Regions from separate parts of the Mus musculus genome. Here all the other regions are reported to be linked to region 2. The links are microRNA targets in miRTarBase. Many come from high-throughput screens and were not tested one by one. Region 2 holds a microRNA gene; each other region holds the end of a gene's coding sequence. Distances are between the middles of the regions.

Region 1 (3,600 bases), 27 Mb from region 2:
TTAGTAATTAGCAGCTTTCCCTCCTCATTGAGATGATGGGCAGGGCGGGGCAGATGAGCTCCAGGAGAGAGCAGACCAAGAGGAAGGACAAGGACCTTCACAGCAGGCTCTGCTAGTCTCCAGTGACTGCAGAGTCCTCTCTCACTCACTCATTAGCACTTCAACCAAAGTCCTTTGCACAAAGCACCACACCGCTCAATTACTGGGCTGCTGATACTACACGCTGCTGTAATCACAAAGTCCTCTAAGGCCGTGGACTGGCAACTAACCGACGTGACTTTAGATGCTGCCGCCCTTTTCCACATTGAAGAGGTAGAAGGTGTCTCAGCTGTCAAGTGGCTCAGTGTTAGGGGAACGAGTGTAGTTCCTTAAGCAGCTTCTCCTTGGCTCTAACTTCATTCAGGAAAATACTTTTCTAGGATTTAAGATACACTATAAAAGCAGAATATAAAAACACACTATCAAATACTCTAAGAAAATATACTACATCTTACTAAATTGAAGTTGAATATATATTTCAATAATATGGCTAAGAAAATAATTTGGAAAATAATGCTTTTCATTGTCAGATATACTATAAAAGGCAGAATACAAACATAAAATATGTTCCTGAAGCTGAATACATCTGAGTAAAAATATTTTTAAATGCTAAATTTCTCAGTGTTATGTATACTGTAAAGAGTTGAGTATTAATTTTCAGTGTCTGCATTTCTTATTCTGTAGGTCCAGGAGAAGGCGAGGTCATGGTTCCATGACACCACAATGTCGGTGACAATGTGTGTTCTATGGCAGTCTCAGCCTCAGAAAGCAGGCACCACCTGGTGGCACAGATGTGCTCCCTGCAGCCGGGAAGACCATGCCCCTGGATCTTGTTACTAAGCCCATGATGGTCTACTGCCCAGTCAGTCACACATGAGACCAAGGGCACAGCCAGAACCAATCACAGGGCCATAACACTGCAGGAGCATGGCTAACATCTGTCGACAGGTAGAACCTATGCTCTGCTCATTCAAGCCTTGTTTCATAAGAGCCTCATCTCCTGTACAACACTGTGTGCGTCTCACCTATTCCAAGGTTTAGTTTTGCCAAGTTGAATTTTGTTAGTTTCTTTTCTGTTGGAGCTGAGTAGTTATTTGCTCTTCTGTTACTTAGAATACTCACTGGGAATTACCAGGACTAGGCACTGTAACAGTACTGTATAAACAATAAATACAGAGTCCTAGACCTTCCAACCCCCACTGTTTACAAAGATGAAGGGAAGGTCATTTTTCTCAGAGTATAGTTTCAGTCACAGTGTACAAATTTCTTTTTTGGTTTTTCAAGACAGGGTTTCTCTATATAGCCCTAGCTGGCTTCGAACTCAGAAATCTGCCTGCCTCTGCCTCCCAAGTGCTGGGATAAAAGGTATGCGCTACCACACCTATTGGACCTTTAGATATAGATGTCTTTATATAGGCATTTAACACTCTCTATGGAGGCTTGGGTCTTAGCTAAAGCTTTACTGTTTTCCAGTTCTCTAGTGCACAGATCCATGGCATGGCTTTTGCTTATGAAAGTTCTGAGACTGCAACACATGTTGTCCAGGCTACCCCCTAACTAACTAGGTAGACCAGGATGGACTTGAATCCCTGTCCTGTGCTCCCCTCCCGAGGGCTGGGATTACAGGCTGTGTGTAGCACCACTCCTCACTCAGAGGCTTTAGCAATTCCTCCAGCCCCTTCTCATACTGACCTCACCACATTCCAGTTCTGACGCTTCTGACCAGCAGAAGGGTAAACTAAGAACGAAAGCTTTAAGTCTTTCTTCATAAGAATTCTGTAACAGTCAAAGGGACAAGGCAAGATGTCCCTCCAGTTACTGGACATATAAGGCTTTCCTCTTTAAGACTGTTAAAGTTTATGTAAAAGTTCACTATTATGAAAATAACAAAGAAAGCAGCTATATTTGTTATAATTTTTGTTTGTTTGTTTGTTTTACTAGAGAGTCTCCAAGCTAGCCTCAACTTGTGATCCTCCCTCCTACCTTTGGCTTCAGATGCTCATATTGCGTGGAACAGCATGCCTGCTGCACTTGGCACACTTTAGATACTAGCTGGATGCTATTCCACAATCTACACACAACCTCAAAGCGTAACTAGAAACACGGGGCTAACACTGCTACCCCACAGAAGAAAAGAATAGTTGGTAAATAACCTGCCCTGAATCATGAGGACATGTAAAAAGTTAGCATGTCCTTTCCACACTCCGCAGTCCAAATGGCTTTATAAAGTAGCAAACATTCCATGAGCGTAGAGTGGGATGAATGGCGAGTGTGCTGTGTTTTAGCAGAAGTGCAGCCTGAGGTATCACAGAGATTATGCAGTATAACGACTGACTTCTCTCCTCGGAGGGCTGGCCCGGGTGTGGGTGTGGAAAGGTTCCAACTGCTAATCTCTCGGACACACACACTGCCCTCCTCAGCTTGTCCCTGCTATGAATCCCGAGGCCTGCTTGTTTGGCTCCAGGCCACTGAGAGGCATTCCTCCTTCCTTTACATTCATGGAACTTAAGAGTTTTTCATCAACAAAAGCCTTATGATAAATTCTGAAACAAGTAGCCCCCTCCAATTTCTGGAGTTATAAGGTTTCTTTCTTGTAACACGTGTTCCATCACTTCTGGACCTAACGGGTCTTTTGAGTATGAATTCTAGCACCAATGAGAAACCCTGTATCTCGTTGTCTTCCCACATTGTTATCCACCACAGGGTTTTTAAACTGTATGGATTTTCTGATGGCAACTCATTCACTCCTCCGTCCTGTATGAATCCTCTGATGTTGGGTAAGGTGAGAGCCACGAATAAAGGCCTTCCCACATTGCTGGCACTTATAGGGCTTCTCACCGGTGTGGATTTTCTGGTGTCGACTGAGCTCTGAGCCTCGGCCGAAGGTCTTTCCACACTCTTTGCACTCATAGGGTTTCTCACCGCTGTGGCTTCTTTCATGATGTGTCAGCTCTGATCTTCGGATGAAGGCCTTCCCACACTCCTTACATTTGTGGGGTCTATCACCAGTGTGAACTTTCTGATGTCTAAAGAGCTCTGTGGTGCAAGTGAAGGACTTTCCACATTCCTTACACTTGTAGGGTTTATCGCCAGAATGGGCTCTCTGATGCCGGGCAAGTTCTGAACCACGACGGAAGCCTTTGCCACACTCCTTACACTTATAGGGCGTCTCGCCAGTGTGAACACTCTGATGGCGAAGAAGGTGTGAGTCAGAGATGAAGCCTTTCCCACACTCCTTACACTTGTGGGGCTTCTCCCCAGTGTGTGACATCTGGTGGAGAGCGAGCTGGGAGGCACAGCTATACACCTTGTCACAGTCCTTACACTCAAAGCGCCGTGCCCCAGCATGCGTGAGCAGGTGCAGGCTGAGCTGTGTGTCGTAGCGGAAGGCCTTCCCGCACTCCTTACACTTGTGAGGCTTCTCCCCAGTGTGGATGCGCTGGTGCCGGAGCAGGTGTGATGGGCGCATGAAGGCTTTCCCGCACTCCTTGCATTCAAAGCACTTCTCATCAGTGTGAACTCTATGGTGAAGACTAAGCTGGGCGTTAGACGGGAAAGCCT
Region 2 (3,675 bases):
CAGACTGGAAGTGCTGGGGGGGGGGGGGCGACTCAGAGGAGAAGACTGGGGTTGGGGGAAGGATTGTAGAAGGAGGTGACCTGGAGGGGGGCAGTGAGTAGGATGTAGGGTGAATACATTTTTAAAAATTAAATTAATTTTTTAAAAATGTTCCATTACACACACACACACACACACACACACACACACACACACACACAAGGTGTAGACTTAGGAGTCCTAAATTATTCTTGGCTATTTAATGAGCTTATGGCCAGCTTGGCGTACTTGAGCCTTGTCTCCAAAAAACAAACAAACAAACAAACAAACCCTAAACTCCAAGTCTGCAATATGCCTCTGTAGCTTTAGCCCTGCCGCCTGGAGACCTAATTTCAATCCATGGAGCTATTTAAAGATATTTAATAAATAATAATAACAACAACAATAATAATAACAAAAGAAAAACAGCCGGGCATGGTGGCACACGCCTTTAATCCCAGCATTTGGGAGGCAGAGGCAGGCGGATTTCTGAGTTCAAGGCCAGCCTGGTCTACAGAGTGAGTTCCAGGACAGCCAGGGCTACACAGAGAAACCCTGTCTTGAACCCCCTCCCCCCCAAAAAAAACATATTTAAGCATAGGAGAAAACTAACTCTATCATATTGTTCTTGGACCTTCATATTCAGTGTGGGAAAGAAAGAAAGAAAGAAAGAAAGAAAGAAAGAAAGAAAGAAAGAAAGAAAGAAAGAAAGAAAGAAAGAAAGAAAGAAAGAAAGAAAGGTAAAAAAGAGGGAGGATTTGAAACTCTGGATTTAAAAAAAATTCAAACGAAAGAATAAACTGAACCTCCCACATTCTTCCTTTATTTATTTTTATTATTATCTTAATACTGAATGTAGCCCTGCCTAGTCCCGTGCCTAGTCACCATAGTAGACCAAGCTGGCCTTGAACTAACAAAGATCCTCCAGCCTCGGCCTAGAAAACTATAGGATTAAAGGCGCTGCTTCTAGAAACAAACAAAGAAATCTGTTTCCTCTGGGGGGTGGGGGGGAGAAGAAACCAGTGAAGGTCACTCTGCCGCAGGGAAACTCAGCTCAGAGGAAGCAGGGTGGTAGAGTAAGGATTCTCCGGGGTGGGGGAGGGGTATCAGAGCCTCCCAGTCCAGGGGGCCAATGAGCCTTCAGACTATATAAGAACCTAGAGCCTCCCCCACGCCTCTCAGAGACTTCTACTCCACATCGGGAATGCTGGTCTCTGCGGTCTTCAGGGATACCTCCGGCGTGCTGCTTCTCACATAGGCAAAGGTAATATTTTTAGTTTCAGATTTTTTATTTCCTTCAGTTCTGTGGTTTTAATCTACCTGGTTTAGAGAGGCGAAAGTAGATCCAGGATTTCCAGAAGAGAGATCTTCCTGCTTCAACTTTGGAGATGACTAGCCAGGCTGGCCTTTAACTCTCATTTCTGCCTGCCTCTCTGCCTCCAGATTAAAGGTCATCACGGCCATCTTCATTCTACTTTTTAAAAACTAGAGCCCCTTTTTTAAAAGGCAGGCTAGCCGCGAACTCAGCCTTCCTCGCTCGCCCCCACGGTTTGGCTGGGTTTACTAATCCCGAGGCAGAGGCAGGCCCATCTGAGGTTGGTCTGGTCTCCAAAGAAGACATTTAGAACTAATGTGTGTGGAAAAAGAGTTGGGCTTTTTTTTCTGACTTGGTCTACATAATTTCAAGGGAGGAACGAGCCTATGTGGGGAAAGTGAGTAGTCTGGGCGCGAGTGAAGTTTGGGGACCAGAAACCAAAGCTAGGAGTTACTGAGGGCAGGTCTAGGGAGTCTATGCAGTACATTTCATTAACTACGTGGTTTCATTGTAGAAATTTTGAGTTTCACTATACCTTGAGTTAGACCGATGTACTAACTCTTCCTTGATTTCATCCAGGTTTCCTTCAGGTTGGAGTGAATTTTAAGTTCTCCACGTTCTTTCCTCCTGGTAAATGTTTTAACGTCTGGACCGCCTCATCTTGCGGTACTCAAACTATGGGGGCACTTTTTTTTTTCTTTAAAAAGTGCCGCCTAGTTTTAAGCCCCGCCGGTTGAGAAAACGGCTATCTGGCACATTTACCAGCCCTGGTGCCACGTGTTCCGGGTTAACTGCAGCGTGGTGAGTACGGATTCGAAGAAAGGAATGAGACTGAGTATAGCGAAAGGCTAGGGATGGGCATCCTGCCCAGTAGACGGTAACTGAGGTGGTCGTTGTAGGGTACCTGGGGGCTCCATGTGCGTCCTGTCGCTGCTTGGAGCTGTTACACCTATGTAGCGGCCATCAAAGTGGAGGCCCTCTCTTGAGCCTGAATGAGAAAGTGCTTCCACTTTGTGTGCCACTGCATGGGGAAAACATCATAGCTTTGCATCTGACGCATCGGTTTACAGGAGCGGACAACCTGTGTGGGGGTTTAGGCTTGGAGTTTAATGGGTCCTATCCTAAAGAGGGCGGTTCAGTTGGGTGCCACGAGACGCGGATGGATGTAAGGCAGTCGTGAGTCCAGGTGCATTGTAGATTGTTCTTAAGCTTGACCTCCAGCCTGTGATACTCAAACTGGGGGCTCTTTTGGATTTTCATCGGAAGAAAAGTGCCGCCAGGTTTTGAGTGTCACCGGTTGAGAACTCAAAACGGCTAAGAACTAAGAATTAAGTTTTAGTGGGTCATGTTTTCACTGGGGTTGCATTTCTGGGCAGGTGGGTGTCACATGTGGGTTTGAGTCCGAACACTTGGGCGCATGCGGTACTAAAGGCTTTCCGCGTTCATAAAGGAGCCGGGATCCCACATGGGCCTCGCTCGGAGGAGCTGAGCCTCAGGTCTTGGAAGTTGGAACATACAGTGTCGATCAAAGTGGAGGCCCTCTCCGCGGCTTGGCGGGAAAGTGCATCCATTTTGTTTGTCTCTGTGTGTACATGGCGTCTGAAAAGCCGGCTGCAGCTGCAACCTGGAATCGCTTACCTGCTTGAAACAGGTATGTGTGCTGGAGGTGAATTCGTTGCCACTGGCTACTCGAGCTGCAAGGCTGGAGGTGAGGAGGAAGCAGGGCAGGGTGGAAGGAGGCACTCCAGGTCCAGGGGTGGTGAGTCTAAGCCTCAGGTCTGAGTAAAGAAAGGCCTACTTTTAAATCTCACGTGGCCGCCATATTAAGTCCTCTTTCAATTTTTTTCCTTTTTCTCCAAACAGGGTTTCTCTGTAGCCCTGGCTGTCCTGGAGCTAACTCACTTGTAGACCAGCCTGGCCTCAGCTCCATCCACCTGGGATTAAAAGATCCTATATATCTTGCTTGACTACTGTAGTTGCTATATCTTGCTTGACTACTGTAGTTGGACTGATGGTTGTGAGTCTTGATATGGTTGGATTGAATTTTTAGGACCTGCTGGCTGTAGCTGACTTTAACCTGGCTCCTAGCACAAACAAGCTTGGTGGACAGCCGGGTAGATAATACCCATAATACCTTTTGGCTTTACAATAGCCCAGGCTCATGAGGGCTGGGATTACAGGTGTTACATTGTGTGCCCTAAGCATAATCTTCATGGATTCTCTTTGTTTTTCAGGTGTTCCAGTTGAGTTGAATGTAATCCTGCCTAGCCTGGGGTACTTACTTGCCTTCAACCTGCCTGGCTGGCTGGTCTGGCTAAGAACTGACTATAAAGTTTCAGGTT
Region 3 (3,600 bases), not on the chromosome of region 2:
CCAAAAAAATATTTCTAGTCCATGCTAACTCACTGTTTAAAGGACAAGAGTGAAGCATGTGGTAGTAACCAAGGCTGGGGGCCACTGTCATTAGAGCCCCAAATGGTATGTTTGCTGTCTTGAGTGACTAGTAATGAGCTATATGGGTGGAACTTGCAAGTTGTCAAAGAGCACCTTAAGTCTTGGAGTTGGCTCACTGAGACAATTTCTCAGGGTCTTTTATACGCAACGCTGCTTTGGCACATTCATCATGCCCCATGGCTTACTATATTTTTTATTTAGTGAGATACTGTCTTCAAATCTTTAGAAAATCAGACACTATTCAAGTTTATAGACACAAAACCATTGAATATACGTGGAATCTTTCTTGGTAACTTCCTACATTTCTAACTTCATGTGAATTTTTTTTACACAGAGGAAGCGGGATAGTGAGAGTGAAAGTGATGAGACCCCAACAGTTCCCCAGTTGAAGGAAAAGAAGAAGAAGAAGGATAAGAAGCCCAAAACTGTGCTAGAAAGTGGGGGCGAAACTGGAGATGGGGTATGTGTGAACCATGGGTGTGCCTTTGTGTCAGCTGAGTCTTTGACAGGAATTGTGCGAGAGTGGGGTTCCTACCATTGCCTTTTTTGGTGCTGCCCTGTGTTCTAGATTTGCCTTGTCTACCTTCTTGGACACAGAAGTAGGGGCACCCAGCCTTTCAGAACAGTGGATCATGGTTGAATTATGTTGCTGCTGGGTAGGGAAGGTGTATTAAGTAGATCTCTCTAAGACTTCACCGAGAAGGTCACAGGCAAAATTTGTTTAACCCCAAATGTCTTAGATTTTTGAACAGACTTGACTGTGCAATTTGTCAGATTTCTTTTGGGAACAGTAGTCATAAATGTTTTGTCAGTGGGTACATTGAACTTACTTTTACTTTCTCTTTCTTTAGGACAACGACACCACCAAAAAGAAAAAGAAGAAGAAAGTAAAAGTGGTAGAAGAGATGTCTGAATAGTTTAAGCCACTTCTGGAAGCATTATGTCCAGCTGGGAAGAAAAAGAAAAGCCTTATTGGAAAAACTTTTTGTTGAGGGAGAACAGAGGTCCCAGAGTAGAAAGTTCTGGTATACTTTTAGCTGCCACTTGTGACCTCAGTGGTTAGCTGGTGTGGCCATCTCATCCCATCCTGTCCTGTTTTAAGGATATGAGAGATAAAATCAGGCCTTTGCCACCAACCCCTCTGCTTGCTTGAGGAAGCCACACCTTTAGACATGGCATGGCCTAGTAACTATCTGCAGCTATTTACTAATGAGCATTTTCAACAATGCCATAGATAGTCCTCTCCTACTTTGCTTTTTAAAAAGTTGGTAAAAATTAAATCTGCTACATAAAATGGTATAGAACCTTCTGTGAGAGAAAAAATGTAATTGAACTATGTTCACTGGGGGACTCTTATCTCCAGTGTTCTATGAGGACTGCTCTATTCAGGTATTAACCTTGCCTGGTGGTATCTATGATATTTAGGCTAGTACTCTGTATTTTTGTGTACAACAGGATTTCTCTATATGGCTACTTGTGTTTCTTATGGAAGCCAAAGCATTCCTGTACCTTCCTATTTGTTTTCTTTTAAAGAATGGAATTGCCGGGCGTGGTGGCGCATGCCTTTAATCCCAGCACTTGGGAGGCAGAGGCAGGTGGATTTCTGAGTTCAAAGCCAGCCTGGTCTACAGAGTGAGTTCCAGGACAGTCCAGGCTATACAGAGAAACCCTGTCTCGAAAAAAAAAAAACCAAAAAAACAAAAAACAAAACAAAAAAACCAAAAAACAAAAAAAACAAAAAAAAAAACAAAAAAACAAAAAAAGAAAAAAAAAAGAATGGAATTGTTCAGAATGGAATTGTTCATTGCTGAAGAATGTAATTTGTAGTTTTTTTTTTTTTAAAAAGTATTCCTGTTAGATTTACTATGATAATCTTGGACTGGCAACAAAAGTGAGAGAATATTTTTATTAAAAGTCTGAGGTTTATGTCCTATTTTGAATTTGCTTTTCCTTTGGCTACTTTTAAATTTCCTAATTCTGAGTCTTTCTTACATTGGCACTGGGGCCTATCTGCTCTCAAGGGAGATCATTACTAATCCAGGGTTAAGAGGAAAGGGGTAGATGCATTTATATTGTACTGGGCTTGTGAAGAGGTTGGAGGTACTCCAGGTAGGAAACTGCCAGTTTTGGTGTTGACTGCAGAGGGAGCAGGGAACTTTGCTTAAATATGTGCCCAAAACCAAGAATATAAACACAAGTTTTAGGGGAAATTGTTAATAGCATAGGCAGGTATAGAATGCCCAAACAGCCCCTGCTTTTGTAACATGTTTTAAACCATTCTCTTACGACTTAACAAGTCCTAGAGAAGACGCCTTTGTGCATTGTGAATACCAGACCTATAGAGGCAGTGACAGGTAATTCCCAGAGATCTTATGTTAATGTCATTGCTTGGAAGGTTAAGATTGGGAATGGAGTTACAGGGTCACGGGTACTTTAACACAGCAGCATTTTTATTGCTTTGGAAGATTTTCCCTACAGCAGACATTCTATTGCACAGCTGTTTGATTTTGGCATTTTAGAAAGTTTTCAGAAGATATTTATTCCAGAGTAAAAAGACATTCTATAGTTGAAAGCAAAGGAGCTCAGGCTTCAGGGGGACAGTTGGTTTATCTATGTAGCATTGCATTTGGTTATTCTTATGGCAATTTTCCAGAGATCATTTTGAAATGTAGATAGTAGGAAAGCTTCACCCCTTTAGGAGCCTGAGTAAGAAAACAGCAGAGCTAAAAGTTGAAGCAACCCTTTTGGCTTAAGCAAGGGAGGGGGTGCGGGGAGGTGGCATTCCAAATGCTGGCTGAAACATGTTTGCCAATTCTGTAAGCTTAGTAAACCCAGGAGACAGGCACCCACTGTGGAGAACTGCAAGCCTGGTCAAAGGCTTCTTGCAATTTCTTAAGAGTTTCATCAACACTATTATTCACCAAAGAGAGGTCAAAGTAATGAGCATACTGACTACGGATGGCCTCAGAGTCCTTCTGCAGCTGCTGCAGGGCTTCAGTCTGCAAAGAAGAAAGCCATAGATGAAGCAGCAGTCTTTAATCACAGCAGCAAAGGGAAGATTTAAACAAGTTTACATTAACTGGTTCCCCATCTGTTTTTTTGCATGGTGGTGATCCATCCTGTGGCCTAGTATCTGCTAGGTAACCAATTAAGAATATAATGTTTGCCAAAGGGGTTGAGAACCACTTAACTATTCTAATGAATGCCAAACTAACCCTAATTACCTAGCACAGCCTTCACTAGCATTCACTTAGTTTTAGCCCTTTGTTTATGGAAAAGCCATTTTAGCAACTACTACAGCTATAATCCAAGGATAAGGGAGAAAGTTTATTGACAAGTCTCAAGCCTCTGGCTCCAATGGTCAGTTAACTACATAAAGGCAAAAGGATAGAGAAATATGTGTCATAGTGGTGGTGGGGATATTTGTAACTTTCATTACAGGGAAGTACCATAATATAGAATTCTTAGATGAAGTCACTAACTCAATGGAAACATGAGCTAAGGATATGGCCAGATATA

What was found. Region 2 holds the annotated microRNA mmu-miR-291a-3p (AAAGUGCUUCCACUUUGUGUGC, at 2,331-2,352, shown strand). A microRNA usually pairs through its seed, bases 2 to 8, with sites in the 3' UTR of a target mRNA and lowers its output. Matches are read on the target gene's strand: a 7mer-m8 pairs with bases 2 to 8, a 7mer-A1 pairs with bases 2 to 7 and ends in A, and an 8mer does both.
Region 1: the mRNA of Zfp568 is a reported target of mmu-miR-291a-3p. Seed matches in the 3' UTR shown: 7mer-m8 at 1,388-1,394.
Region 3: the mRNA of Dkc1 is a reported target of mmu-miR-291a-3p. Seed matches in the 3' UTR shown: 7mer-m8 at 1,655-1,661.

What each region holds. Positions count from the first base shown.
Region 1 is chr7:30,022,824-30,026,423 of GRCm38, reverse strand. Zfp568 (zinc finger protein 568) reads right to left here. Exons shown (of 10, transcript NM_001167872.1): 10 at 1-3,600. The coding sequence ends at 2,777. Among named protein-coding and RNA genes, the nearest start is that of Zfp14, 27 kb to the left of the region's middle.
Region 2 is chr7:3,216,638-3,220,312 of GRCm38, forward strand. It overlaps Mir291a (microRNA 291a), which reads left to right and starts at 2,282; the gene lies at 2,282-2,363. It overlaps Mir290a (microRNA 290a), which reads left to right and starts at 1,989; the gene lies at 1,989-2,071. It overlaps Mir290b (microRNA 290b), which reads right to left and starts at 2,058; the gene lies at 2,001-2,058. D7Ertd143e (DNA segment, Chr 7, ERATO Doi 143, expressed) reads left to right here and starts at 2,147. Exons shown (of 1, transcript NR_028425.1): 1 at 2,147-3,675. It also overlaps Mir292, Mir292b, Mir291b and a transcript of Nlrp12 not described here.
Region 3 is chrX:75,107,764-75,111,363 of GRCm38, forward strand. Dkc1 (dyskeratosis congenita 1, dyskerin) reads left to right here. Exons shown (of 15, transcript NM_001030307.2): 14 at 416-541; 15 at 933-2,013. The coding sequence ends at 998. It overlaps Mpp1 (membrane protein, palmitoylated), which reads right to left. Exons shown (of 12, transcript NM_008621.3): 12 at 1,970-3,080. The coding sequence ends at 2,904. Among named protein-coding and RNA genes, the nearest start is that of Gm25520, 8.2 kb to the left of the region's middle.